Styela clava: one gene and its partner. The protein of the gene in region 1 purifies or fractionates together with the protein of each later gene. This does not show direct contact. Links are inferred from orthologs where the notes say so. Each region holds a gene or a part of one and is shown in the gene's direction. Other genes may lie near its edges.

Evidence for each region. The genes of interacting proteins can lie anywhere in the genome.
Region 2: the proteins of protein lin-37 homolog (region 1) and protein lin-52 homolog purify together in Homo sapiens (affinity purification with mass spectrometry; 6 studies listed by BioGRID and IntAct, counting the BioPlex papers as one, with this or other methods). This does not show direct contact. The link is inferred for Styela clava from reciprocal best matches to the Homo sapiens genes LIN37 and LIN52.

Annotation. Positions count from the first base shown.
Region 1 is NC_135253.1:13,439,526-13,446,055, forward strand, and holds protein lin-37 homolog, read left to right. Parts: upstream 1-4,107; 5' UTR 4,108-4,270; coding exon 4,271-5,020; 3' UTR 5,021-6,021; downstream 6,022-6,530. Other genes in the region: uncharacterized protein LOC120326047, read left to right, coding at 6,051-6,234.
Region 2 is NC_135251.1:22,035,197-22,041,626, forward strand, and holds protein lin-52 homolog, read left to right. Parts: upstream 1-4,738; coding exon 4,739-5,089; 3' UTR 5,090-5,910; downstream 5,911-6,430. Other genes in the region: mannose-P-dolichol utilization defect 1 protein-like, read left to right, coding at 3,033-3,767; D-aminoacyl-tRNA deacylase 1-like, read left to right, coding at 5,945-5,987.

The DNA of each region.
Region 1 (6,530 bases):
ACAGCAGCAACGTTTTTGAAGGATCCAGTCTCCTAATTTCATCCACACTTTTAAAAATCTATAGTTTTCTCCATTTTGTTTTTCCCAGCTTTATTCCAGTGGTTTTTTTTTATGTTTTTTGGTGCAGTGTTTGCTGCCGTGGTTGAAAAATTTTTTCGCGTTAGAACCATTGAGGTTATGTTAACCCTCTATAGTTATATACACCTCAATGGTTAGAACCCGTACGTACCGATACCGGTATGAAAAAAATATAATATGGTTTATGATACCGGTAATGAAAATGTTAGACTTATTGTATTTTGATGTTATAACAACTCATACTGTTTTAATTGTTTACATTTTTTGTTTGCTATTTAATCGTCTCATATCTTACTTTGACATTCCTCTGCAAACATAAAAAAATTGATCATCATATTTATCAAATTCTAGAATGTTCGTTCCACCTTTATATTTAGTCATTTGAAATTGTGAATCTTAAACATTATTGCGTGAATAGGGGGAGTTGACTTTGATGACCGTCTAGTCGTATCACTCCCTCTTGTCTATACCAAACTAATTTATTGTTATTATTTATTATTACGATGACTGTTATTTTATTTTGGTTGGCGAAATAATAAATCTCTCTTTCTCTCTCTCTCTAAAGGAAAAAATGGCGTGGGGCCTATTTAGCACCCGGGGAAATGCCGCGAGTGCTGTAACACATTTTGTGATTGTGTGCAGGGATTGGTACGGTAAACGACAAGCGAATGCAAAGTGGGTTTAGGTCGGGCGAGTATCAGTATATGAACAAGGACGAATAACGGTGTGGTATGTGAATCAATGTGATACAGTGATAAATGCTTATAGAATATTTGGGTCTCGTGAAGCGAACGCCGTAACTGCTTAAAGCAGGGGTCTCAAACCCGCGGGCCAATTGCGGCCCGCAGGACGATAGTTTGCGGCCCCCGCCTTGGTATGAAAGTTTAATGTTAGTGCGGCCCGTAAGTCACTCAGCTCAGTTAGAATGATTGATGCATTTGATATATGATCAGGACAAGTAGAGCAAAACAAAATATTTTATAATCTATCCACCGAAAGGAATATGCGGTACGGTAACCTACTAGTACCGTACATGTAGGCATGATATTCGATGGACCTTTGACCCCGAAGAAAATTTTCTTATACTTCACCATTACAAATTCTTGGTGCTTATTTTAGAGGTGGCTTCGCGATGTTTCACGTCATCAATTTGATTCAAAACATTCAACAACCTGTTTTTCAACAGTACCGGTAGAGAAATTTAACCTAGTCTATCACAGCTATTTCTAGACTAATTTATGATTACGGCAATTAAGCTACGACGCCCAAGCAATCAGAATGATCATTGAGTTCTTTGATTCATACTTGAATTTCTGAAACACAACCCAAAACTAACAAATAGCATGCAAAAACGAGGTAATGTTTACAAACATGCCTGAAAATCTTTCTGAGTCACAAGTGTCTGAGCGTTTGCGGAAAAGTCTATTGTTACGTCACTTTTTGCGTCCTGCTGATTAGCCCACGTTACGGAATAAACAAGGAAGTAGATGCTCGGGGAAAGGTCCATCGCGATATTACTTCCATTTATATTTTTGACATGTTTCGCGTATAGAAAAAACAAAGAAAAAGATTTAACTTTTTAAGTTTAATGATTTTATTGTGGAAAACCCGATGCGGCCAGGACTCACCAAGGCTCCGTTTCGGCGGCCCCCAGGTATATTGAGTTTGAGACCCCTAGCTTAAAGGGTCTCGTGTAGTTTCGTACCTAACGTACTTCTAGTAGGCGTAGCATAACAATATTTTGACATGCCAATCCTAACCCTCACCTGACTACGCCATCCAAAAATTACGTCACAACACGTCATAGAGCTTGCCAAATACTCGTACGATCACCCGAAATGGCATCGGCGCCGACGATAAAGAACTGACTAACGCCAGCGGTCTCTCTCCTATCGGGATCGTTGCGACGAGAGAAATGGCTGTTCGATTTCGCGTTCTCGTCTGCGCGTCTTGGATGACAGTTCGCATAGTTTGAAGGGCTCTATTACGTCACTGTGACGTATTTTTTGGATGGTGTGGTGGTGGGGGTTAGGGTTGACGCGTGAAAAAATTGTTATGCTACGCCTACTAGAAGTACGTTAGGTACGAAACTACATGAGAGCCCCTGCTTAAATACCCCCAACACAAATGTCCGAATGTGGTGTGAAAATGAATGTTGTACCGTACCTGTAAGTGCTCAAATAACAAAATTATGATGTGAAAATACAACCCAAATTTATTTATTTTTTCTAAAAATGAAAGTCCGTCTTGCGCACACGCTGAACACAATACGCTAAACGCATGTGACAAACGGGAGGAAGACAACTCGATACGGGAGCAGTACCCGTGCGGTACGACGTTCATTTCACATCACAATTTTGTTAGGCGTTACTTGCTACAGGGGTGGTGACTCCTCTACGACCCATGGGTCGGGGCCACGGCCCATCTAATTGGGCCACATGGAAAAATTTAAAAAAAAAGGAAGGCCAGGAAAAATTTAATTATCTTACCAAAATTGTCAATATTCGAACCAAAAAATAAACTCCTGTAGTATGTGTACCAGGTTAGGGTTTGGGCAAAATTTTGTTCAGATTTTTTACATTATAGTTCTATTATGAGTTTGGGGACTGTTTGTGTTAGCCAAGTGAATAGTTTTTTTACACAACTTGATGGGCCGCGGCCCATAGCCTGATGGGCCGAGGCCCAATTTGATGGGCCGTGGCCCATGGGCCGAAGAGGAGTCACCACTTCCACTCGTTACTTGAGCAGTTACGGCGTTTACTTCACTAGACCCGAATATTTTCGGGTTTGGTATAGTTTAGTACCACGTGCACTTCCAGGCTTTTAGTTAGCCTGGCTCAACAATTTTTGTATATGTCATTCCTAACCCCCACCTGGCTTCGTCACATAAAAATTACGCCACTACTGCACTACCATGTCCCAGTAGCGTAATAAAGCCCTCAAGGTGTACGGATGATCATCACCCGAAATCGAGCAAGCTATTTTTCTCGCCGCAACGATCCCGATATGAGAAAGGTTGCTGGCTCTAGTGAGTTCGTTATCGGCGCCGATAATGCCATTACGGGCGATCGTAGCTATACTTCGGCACGCTCTATGACGTGATTGTGATATCGTAGTGACGCAATTTTTGGATGACATAGTCAGGTGGGGGTTACAGGTTTGGGAATAACATATGCAAAATTCGTTATGCTACGCCCACTGGAAGTACATATGGTACTAAACTATACTAGACCCGAAAATTTGACGCATGTTCACTAAATGCCGTGAGTCCTTCTATTTGGTATGGAACAACCATTTTTGCACATGTAATTCCTGGTTTCGCCATTGGTTACGTCACCACGACCTCACAATCACGCCCAATACTGCACACTATCCAGATTCCAAGAATTTGGCTCAATAGAGCAAACACTCCATGTGTCTCACAAATGAGGGGCGTCTGGCACCACGTCAGATCTTCATATCACGCCATGCCTGTCTCAATACTTATCTTTATGTTTCGTGATGTTTTTTGGTAAAATTTCTCGAATGCCACAGTAAAAAAAATTTTCCTTCTGTAAATCGGTTTATTTTTTCCTGGGGAATTCAACGATGACGTTATTAGATTGGGCTTTTTTGTAGTATTTTGCGCAACTTCATTATACTGTATTATTATCGATATTGAAGGACAACAATGTCCAGACGTCTCCCAAAGGAGGGGTGTTTGATCATCGGTAAAATGGGTTTCTCTGAAACGAGACAATGTCTCTCGATCTGTATAGTGTGCCGTACTGATGCCAAGGAGCTTGCCAAAGTATAGTCTAGCTAGGATTGCCCGAAATAGCATCTTCGCCAACGATAATGAACTCACTAATGCTAGCGATCTCTCTCATATCATAATCGTTACGACGAGAAATAGCTTGCTCGATTTCGGGTAATCATTTGCGCGTCTTGGATGGTAGTTAGTATAGTTTGGGGGGCCTCATCACGTTACTGTGATGTCGTAGTGATGTAATTTTTTAATGACTGGGGGTTAGGAATACCATGCAAAAATGGCTGTGTGATGTTAACTAGAGGTACTTACGTCGTGTTATGAACATGGCCCCAATTTTCGAACATGGTAATTATTTAAAAAATTATCACTACTGCTGTACTGGTTTCAGGTTCTTGATATTACCATTTACAGGTATTACGGTACTGATAAGAAGATTCACAAATGAAGATGTCTCAATATTCTTATGAACAAGAACTTGATTTTAATGAAGCAAGAGCGGATTTGGATAGTGTACTTCAAAACATTGTAGCAAAGGCTAATGCTGGAGATTCGTCTCCTGCCAGTGATAAAATAAATGACATTGAAAACATGTTGCTACAATCAGATAAAAATAAAACAATATCTGATAGCGAAAGTCCTCAAAAATCTAGTTCCAGGTCCACACGCAAACGTCGAAGAAAAGATGACAATAAAGAAGAAAAACAGAAAGCAAACTCTTGTGTTATGAAATTATTTGATCGAAGCGTTGATCTGGCCCAATTTTCAGAAGATACTCCGTTATATCCAATCTGTAGAGCTTGGATGAGTAATGATCCATACACAAGAAAGGTACATGGTATTCCATCTGATGATCTTGATGAGGCTTCCGTCAATGATGGAAACTCTGATGAGCCGGTTACAATTCCACCCCCTAATACACCATTTAAGAATTTTAGTCCTAATGGAAAATATGTGAGTGCACGTATCCCATCACCCATTCCTCAACCAAGCGATCGACTGGAAGATTATTTGCAGCAAAACAAGGTTATACCTAGAGCAGAAACATTGCTATTAAATCATTTACAACATTGGAAAAATGTTCGGGAGAAATGGATTGCAAAATCTGCAGAAAATGAAGAGCGTTATTCGTCTGGAATGGCACTATTAAAAGATATGGCAAACAGGCAACTTTGTGCTAGTAATCTTACATAAAGGAGTCACTATATCATAAAATGTCACTGTGATAATACTGTTACTGAGGGGCTCCTGAAGTATGCGAACCAAGATGGCGGACATCGGAATGTATATGCGTACTAGGTTAGGGTTAGGCCATAATTTTAGCTATAAATACTACGGGAGGCTCTTGGCTAGTCTTCGAACTGTTAATAGGACTAAAATAAGGAAAATTGGAAAAAAATTATCGCCTAACCCTAACCTGTTACCCATGTTACGTTCCGATGTCCGCCATCTTGGTTCGCATACTTCGGGAGCACCGTTACTGACTTACTGTAAACCTTTCAGTAACAGTGCCTCTGCATGAATTGGAGGAGATATAAATGTTATTTAGTAAAGAAGTAGGATTCAACCCTAACCTGGGACACAAGAATTCAAATAATATATCTGTAACCCCATATTACCAGATTTTTTTTTGTCATTGAAATACAATGGCAAACTGTTTTTAGTGATTTTTTGTGTTTGTTGCATAAGTAGCAAATGGTTTCAATTTTTCCAAAATCATCAATTCTCTCACATTCAGATTTTCATTTCATTTTCACATTTTTATATTATATGAGTAACCAAATTGAAATATTGTTTTTAACAATAAACTAATTTATTTTGGAAGAAACCTGTTTTTACCTCCCTTTCTGAGTTATTAATTTAAACTGAGCAGGAAACAATATAATTTTGCTATCAATGAGAGAGACAATAGTACGATAATCATCAAATTTAGTGACATTTGTTTAAGACCGACTAATTGTGATTGACATTTATACGAATATTGGATTTCCCATTTGTTACAATATTTGTCTAATTAATCCTCTCTAATGAAGTGGGGGGACTATGGCAGCCACGAAATATTCTAAATTTTATGTATGTTTTCCGTATGTTTGTGTATTATCTTTCTGTTGGGAGGAAAAGTTTGTCGCCTCAAAAAAATTTGCCCTTTCTATTTCTACCTTACTTTACATAAAATGTGATTTTCTATTTCAGAATTTGAAGTTTAGTATAGTAGCCTTTCAATATGGTTAAAATATTTGTTGGTAACATACCATCAGATTGTGCAAGAGCTGATGTTCTTGATATATTTGAAAAATATGGGAAAGTGAGAAGTTGTGATATCATCAGGAACTTTGCATTTGTTCATATGGACAATGAAGATGATGCGAGAGATGCCATTGAAGCACTTAACAACTCAAGATTCATGGGTTAGTACTTATGAATCAAGATATGCAATAGTCACCTTATTTTGCATTTTTGTATTGATTTTTTTTGGTTGCATTATGTAAGCTAGTTAGAATATTTTATTTGTTCCATATTTTAGAATTTAGCACATTCCCGAGAAGAGTTTTTAATTTATACATGATGAGACGATTAATTCATACTTTTTTTCCAACTCCTATTCCGTATACTGTTTAGGCATTTTACCATTTCATACCATACTGAGGCTTTCGACCATTTCCATTAATTGCAAGCTCATTGGTATCTGAGGATACACTTATGT
Region 2 (6,430 bases), on another chromosome or scaffold:
ATAGGTTTTTGACGAGCTTTTGTGTATGATTTCAATCTATAGAATTTGTATGCTGTTCTAAAGAATACTAGTTTCAGCTTTTTCATTCATTCAAACCGCGTGTTGAAAGTAAGTTTTGTAATATTGCATGTTGGTTTCCAACATCCTTAAATCGGTGATGCCAGTATTTTGTATGAAATATCATATCTCATAGGATTCATATAAAATTTAAGAATAAACAAAAGTAATAGCCTTCTAGCGAAAAAATTAATCTTTAACCACTGAAAATTTCAAAGCAATTGGTCCAGTATTCGAAGAGAAAAGCGACTTTTTAAAAACGTGTCAAAGAACAAGAACAACAACATAATATTGAAACGATCGTTATGTCCACTACGTGTCCAATAAGATTATTTGATTGCATACTACTGAAAGTTCCGCCTTATATGTCTTTTCCCATTGTACTATTCCTTTACTGATATTCGATAATATGACGCTCATCTGACATAGTTCTTAAAGTGTGTAGATGGGTATAATCTTTTCCACGCTGTTCAAATGGGAATGCGCGAATATATATAAGAATTGCTAATATTGGTTTGCAATGCGATGAAATCCCATCTTGGCATTTCTGCCTCTCGCAATTGCTGCGTATACTTATCGGGGAAGTTCTGTGGCGTGGTTATCAAATGAAAAAAAAACATGGGAGTATTTTTTCTACTTCTCTACTACTATCAAACCTTGACATTTTGTGAAAACTTTTTTCCATGCAACTTTTTTTCAAAACATCCCCAACAACCACAATTAATTCTGTTATTAAACTTCCGAAACAAACGCATAAAATCATCAACAGATGCATATCACCAAGTAGATATAGCTGAATTGATCTTTATTTTACCATTTTTCATGTAATTCTTTTTGGTAAACCTGTTATCTATCGTAAATACAGCACATTTGACAATGTTGTAGTGTGACTATTTTGGCCTCACATTTTTGATATTTGTAGTTAGAGCTTTTGGGGCTCTGTCAAACAAAGTTACATACAAAATATTGATTGTAAATTGCAAAACATGTTCAAGTTGTTGGAATAACTTGGCATTTTACCACCCGTATATCATTCATTGTTGAGAATATTAATAAAATCATAAAATTTAAAAATCCGTTTTCGTGAAATTTTTGTTGTAGCTGAATTCCAGGGACAGCATGACAACAGGCAAGAGAAGCACGGTCGCCTCTTTTAGTTTATGACAGGGTTTCTTAAAAGGGGACCCCGTCCTCCTTGGAGGCCGCTGATCGGTTATCTGGGAGCACGAACAAACAGATGGAAATGCGAATATATAATATATAACAATGTATTTTTATAGAAGATAAGAAGCAAAAGTGTTGAGAGTCTTTGGTAGTTTGAAAAGCATTGGCATGGAACATAAGAATGAACTACATTCTTTCCCAGGGATATACTATAAAATGTAGCAATTTACTCATTCTTGTTCTCGTGATATCATTATCTTTCACTGCGTCGTCGTGATCATCCCGCTGCATAATAATTCTCGCTAACAAATAATTGACTGTTCTCCACAGGGTGTATATCAACTTGAACCACTGGCGACTGCATTAGCAGGCTTGTATTGTTAATTGCAACAAAAACCGGTATTTTGAAATAGTACTCTTTATTTTACGCGTATGTTTCTCTTTCGACAGTATTTACATATGTACAGTATATGGGTCGCGACCCAAAGCTGGGCTCAACAAATACCTAAAAGTTATTGATTTTATTTCCTAGTAAATTTGGTGCTTGCGTAGTTTGTGCACCAAGATTGCGCACAACCTGAACATAGTATTGTAACAGGTTGTGCGTCATTATGATGCACAGGTTTGACGAAAAACACTAATAATACAAATATCGAGCCGCTGCTCAAGGCTGCAAACTCCACACCCATGTAGAAATGATGGGCAATGACCCCAAGATGAATAATCACAAATAAAAAAAAGATGTGGCTCAAAGGGCTAAGCGTTAGGAATACGCTCGCCACCGCACCTCTAACTACTCTGCGTGGGTTCGCAGGTTCGAATCCCATGCAGGGATGGTTATGTGCGAGAGGATTGCTGGACTCCTTGGGTGGGTGGTTCACGTAACCGCTGGTCGGTTACGGCTTCCTCCACCCCTAAGTCCATGCTTCCGAAAACAAACAATACAGTAAAATCTAATCCCATACCCGACTTGGAATGGTAACCGGACGAGAGGCCGTGGTTCGCCATATGGATAAGCCGTCTTATCGGCTTTCCCCCCCCCCCCCCCCGGGATAAATATGTAAATCCTATCCTCCTATCCTAAAAACTTTATATCTGAAATCAAACTTGGCCAAAAAGGTCCCCTTATCTGCCGGACTATAACATGTCATGACTCATGGCGGGCACGTATGCAACGTTAACTTGAAAGGCAGCAGTCACAGATTTTGCTGAGCAACACGGCTGACAAACGCGACGAGGGCGGTCATGTTTGGCGGGATGAAAAGTGTTTTTATCAATTAAAATGAAACAATAAACTTTTCGGTACAATATCGGGTTCCAAAGGACGGATAGTCAATTGAAATATAAGATAAATGAAATGAAATTCTGATGCAAGCACGTCTATCTTCAATTACAGATAATTTGCTGAGGACTCTGATGACTTTAGATAACGTATCCAGGTATCTTAGATATTGCCCTAATAAAATTAGTAAAAGATGTCAAAAGAATCTGCATATTGAATGTTTCAATACATCAGTATGTCACTTGTCACTCATTTCTGCATTTACCGGTACTGATTTATTAGGCATCATAGCCTATAAGCTATAACAGATTTTTGGTATGATTGGGTTGATTGTCCGTTAGTCAGTTCTGTTTTATGATCTTCTGCTCTTTATGGTTGATTTAGTAAACAATAGGCGCTGCTTTGCTGTATGTTCAGTTGTTCAATGGTAGTAAAGATCAATATTTTTGTACAATATACAGTTAACTAATAGCTTATTGTTAAAAATTTAATATCAAGTACTGTACTTAGACTGACAAAACCTTACATTATGGAAGCTTTTCGGAGTCTCATGTCTTTTTTAATGACTCCTGTGTGTTATGAGATCTTTTTTACTGACTTCAATTTTCTCGACGTACCATGTCTGAAAGCAGTGATCAGCAAATGCTTAGGATATGGTATTATCATGGGAGCAGTTCTTGTAAAAGTACCTCAAATTCAAAAGTTGTTGAAGTCATCAAGTGCGGTGGGAATGAGTTTTTCTTCTGTACTGTTGGAATTGTATGCAATCACTTCCATGTGTGCTTACAGCATTGCTAGAAGTTTTCCATTCAGTGCATGGGGTGATTCATTCTTTTTGCTCATCCAAGTCACAATTATAGCCTGCTTGGTACAATACTACCGAGGTAAACCTCAATTGGCCATCGTCTTCCTTGTAATTTACTCCGTCATACTGTTCGTATTGGTATCTGGTATCACTCCCACAAATGTTCTTGCAGCGCTTCAAGCAAGCAACATGCCTGCCATAGTTATAGCAAAGATGATTCAGGCAGCTGAAAGCATTAAAAATGGACACACTGGACAGCTGTCGGCTATAACTGTTTTCCTGACTTTCATTGGTTCAACTGCCAGAATTTTCACTTCAATACAAGAGACTGGAGACAACATTGTTATTCTTACATATATAGTTTCTACAATCGCAAATGCAGTAATATCTTTTCAAATCATTTATTACTGGAAAGCCACTGAAGAATATGTTAAAAATTCTATGAAAAAGCAGCAATAAAGTCGAAGGATGGCTGAAAAAACTTCCAATTTTTATTAGTAGACCAATCGGGTGCAGATGAAATACACTCTCTTATACATGGACTGTTGTAGTTATTTTAGAAGAGATAATATTTTATTGCGCAATGTTTTCGAAGTATTTAAAGGCATAATGTTTTTATTTATTCATTTTTTCCATTCGGTCAAAATCTTATCCTGCATATTGTTTTTGCATGCAATGTGGTTCATCACATAATTCTATAATAAATAAAAACAAACTTGTTTGCGATGATAACCAAATGGGTTTTAGAATTTTTTGGCATCTGATCAAAATTATTCATCAAAGTTGTATTTTTAACTGAACCAATTTCTTTTATGAAGCAATATTTGTATTTGTTATTGCACAAGTCATATTCCATCTCCTGCATCAAGCAAAGCAGTAAATTAGAATGTTTTCCTTCAAGTATTTTAGCAAGTATTCATGCATGTTTTCAATAATTTTAGACAAGAGTGCTATGTAAAATTTTATTTGTGTGCCCTTTTCAATAGAAGTCTGACAAGATTGTTTTTTTCCATTTGGTATTGAATCTCGTACCTGATGAGTAAATTAGAATGCTGTTATTCAACAAAACTGCAAAAAAAGTGCTATTTTTATTGAACAATAAGACTAATTTTGCCAGTAATGCTTCTTGTACAAATACTAGTTGCTTTGAAATCGAGAGGAATGAAATTGACAAATATTGAAATTGAACACCAAGTACTTCAACAATCGATAGCCAATGTAGCAACAAGATATCTCGCTATTCGTTGAATATTTTGTATTTAAATCGGATTCATTTTTGCTTTTTTAACAAAATTTGAACAAAATCATTTTAGAGTACTAGGTAGTACTTGTAAGCTTTGTACTATGCATTATCTGCCTATTACAACATGTGATTTGAATTAAATTGTTTTCTCAGTTTTTGGACATAGTTTTAGTTATATATTAAAAGCATGGCCAGTTCATCTGAACCAAATGATATCGACGAACAGTTGATGAGCTTTGAAAAGCTTGATAGAGCTTCTCCAGATCTATGGCCAGAACAATTGTCGAGTGTGTCAGATTTTATGTCTGCGTTACGAAGTCCGATGTCACCTAAATCACCGCCAAAATGGATGGCAGAGTTAGAAAAGGACGATATTGATATGCTACAGGAATTTGGTAGTTTAACAACTGCAAATTTATTGGAAAAAGTTCGTGGATTACAAAACCTTGCTTATCAACTAGGACTAGATGAATCTCGTGAAATGACAAGAGGAAAATTTTTGAACATTCTCGGAAATGGAAAATTGTTTGGGAGTTGATATATGGAAAAATCATAAATATTTATATGTTAAAATACTGGAATTTAGTGAGAGGGGGCTGTTTTATGCAAAAAATGCTTTAGTATGTTAATATCGTATATGGATATAAAAATATATGAGACTATCTCTATCAGTTATTATGTGCTTATCACATAAGCATGGACGATTGCTGCAACCTTCAATGCATATATCTTGACAAAACAAATTTTCACTGTATACTGTAATATCTTTGTCAGCCAGCTTGTGAAAGCGCTGTGATTTTGGAGTATTAGAAACTTGTTTAAATACCGATGTTGATTGTAGACATTGACAATTTGGTTAACATACCAAATCTAAATATTTCAAAATGTGATGCACAAAAATATAGTTTCTCATAAAATGAAGCATTTGAATGTTTATGATGATGGCTTCTAATTTGAAATTATAGAGCTCTCTATTCATAGAGTGGAGATAGAATCATTTATTCCATATCCTTCCAATGCAAATAAAGATATTAAGATTGATATTAAAAGGTGTCCTTGGTTTTTAAATTTGTATTGCATCATCCTCATGACAGTTAGAGCAGCCTTAAGCGACGTTGCCTGCAGAACATGTTTTATTACGAAATCCTCATATCTCGCTATCTCACCAAGCTGATGAGACTATTTGCATTATTGTGCTATGCTGTTACTGCAGGCCTCATATTGTTTACTTTATTTGTTGATTTTCTCTATACCAAAGAAGTGTGTTTTAAATACAAGGCCTGGGTGGCAGAAATTGTGTCTGTTATATTTTATACTCAATACAATTTTATAGGCAATATTTTATCTGTTGTTCTCTAGCTTTGTTTAAGTTTCATAGCCAAATGCTGATATTATGAAGGCCATTATTCAAAGAGTTATGAAAGCAAGTGTCACGGGTGAGAGTACAAGTCTATTCTAATTCTTCCACATTGCTGAAAAACTTTTTTAAAACAAATTTTAAATCACAATACCAGATAAATAGATAATTGTGCCATCTCATTTCTTGAATGACATCTATCATTCTGTAACCCTCATAACTTTTTACAACACTTATTTGTGCGTTTTGCTCTGAACACGGCCCTGTTAAAGCAGCCAGTGATATTTAACTTAACATTTATAGGGGCTAATGTTTTTGGGAAGACCGTAATCTATCTGGATTGGCATTACCTACTCAATTTATTACACTATAGGTAAGGTTGTGAGATTCGAAACAGAGTTGTGTAAACTGCGATGCCAGCACTCTCAAGCCTAAGGCTACAACCACTAGGGCTTGTGCCACTCACTCTCTTTTGTACCACCTAAATTTACTGAATTGTAAATTTCAGCTTGATCTTTTTTT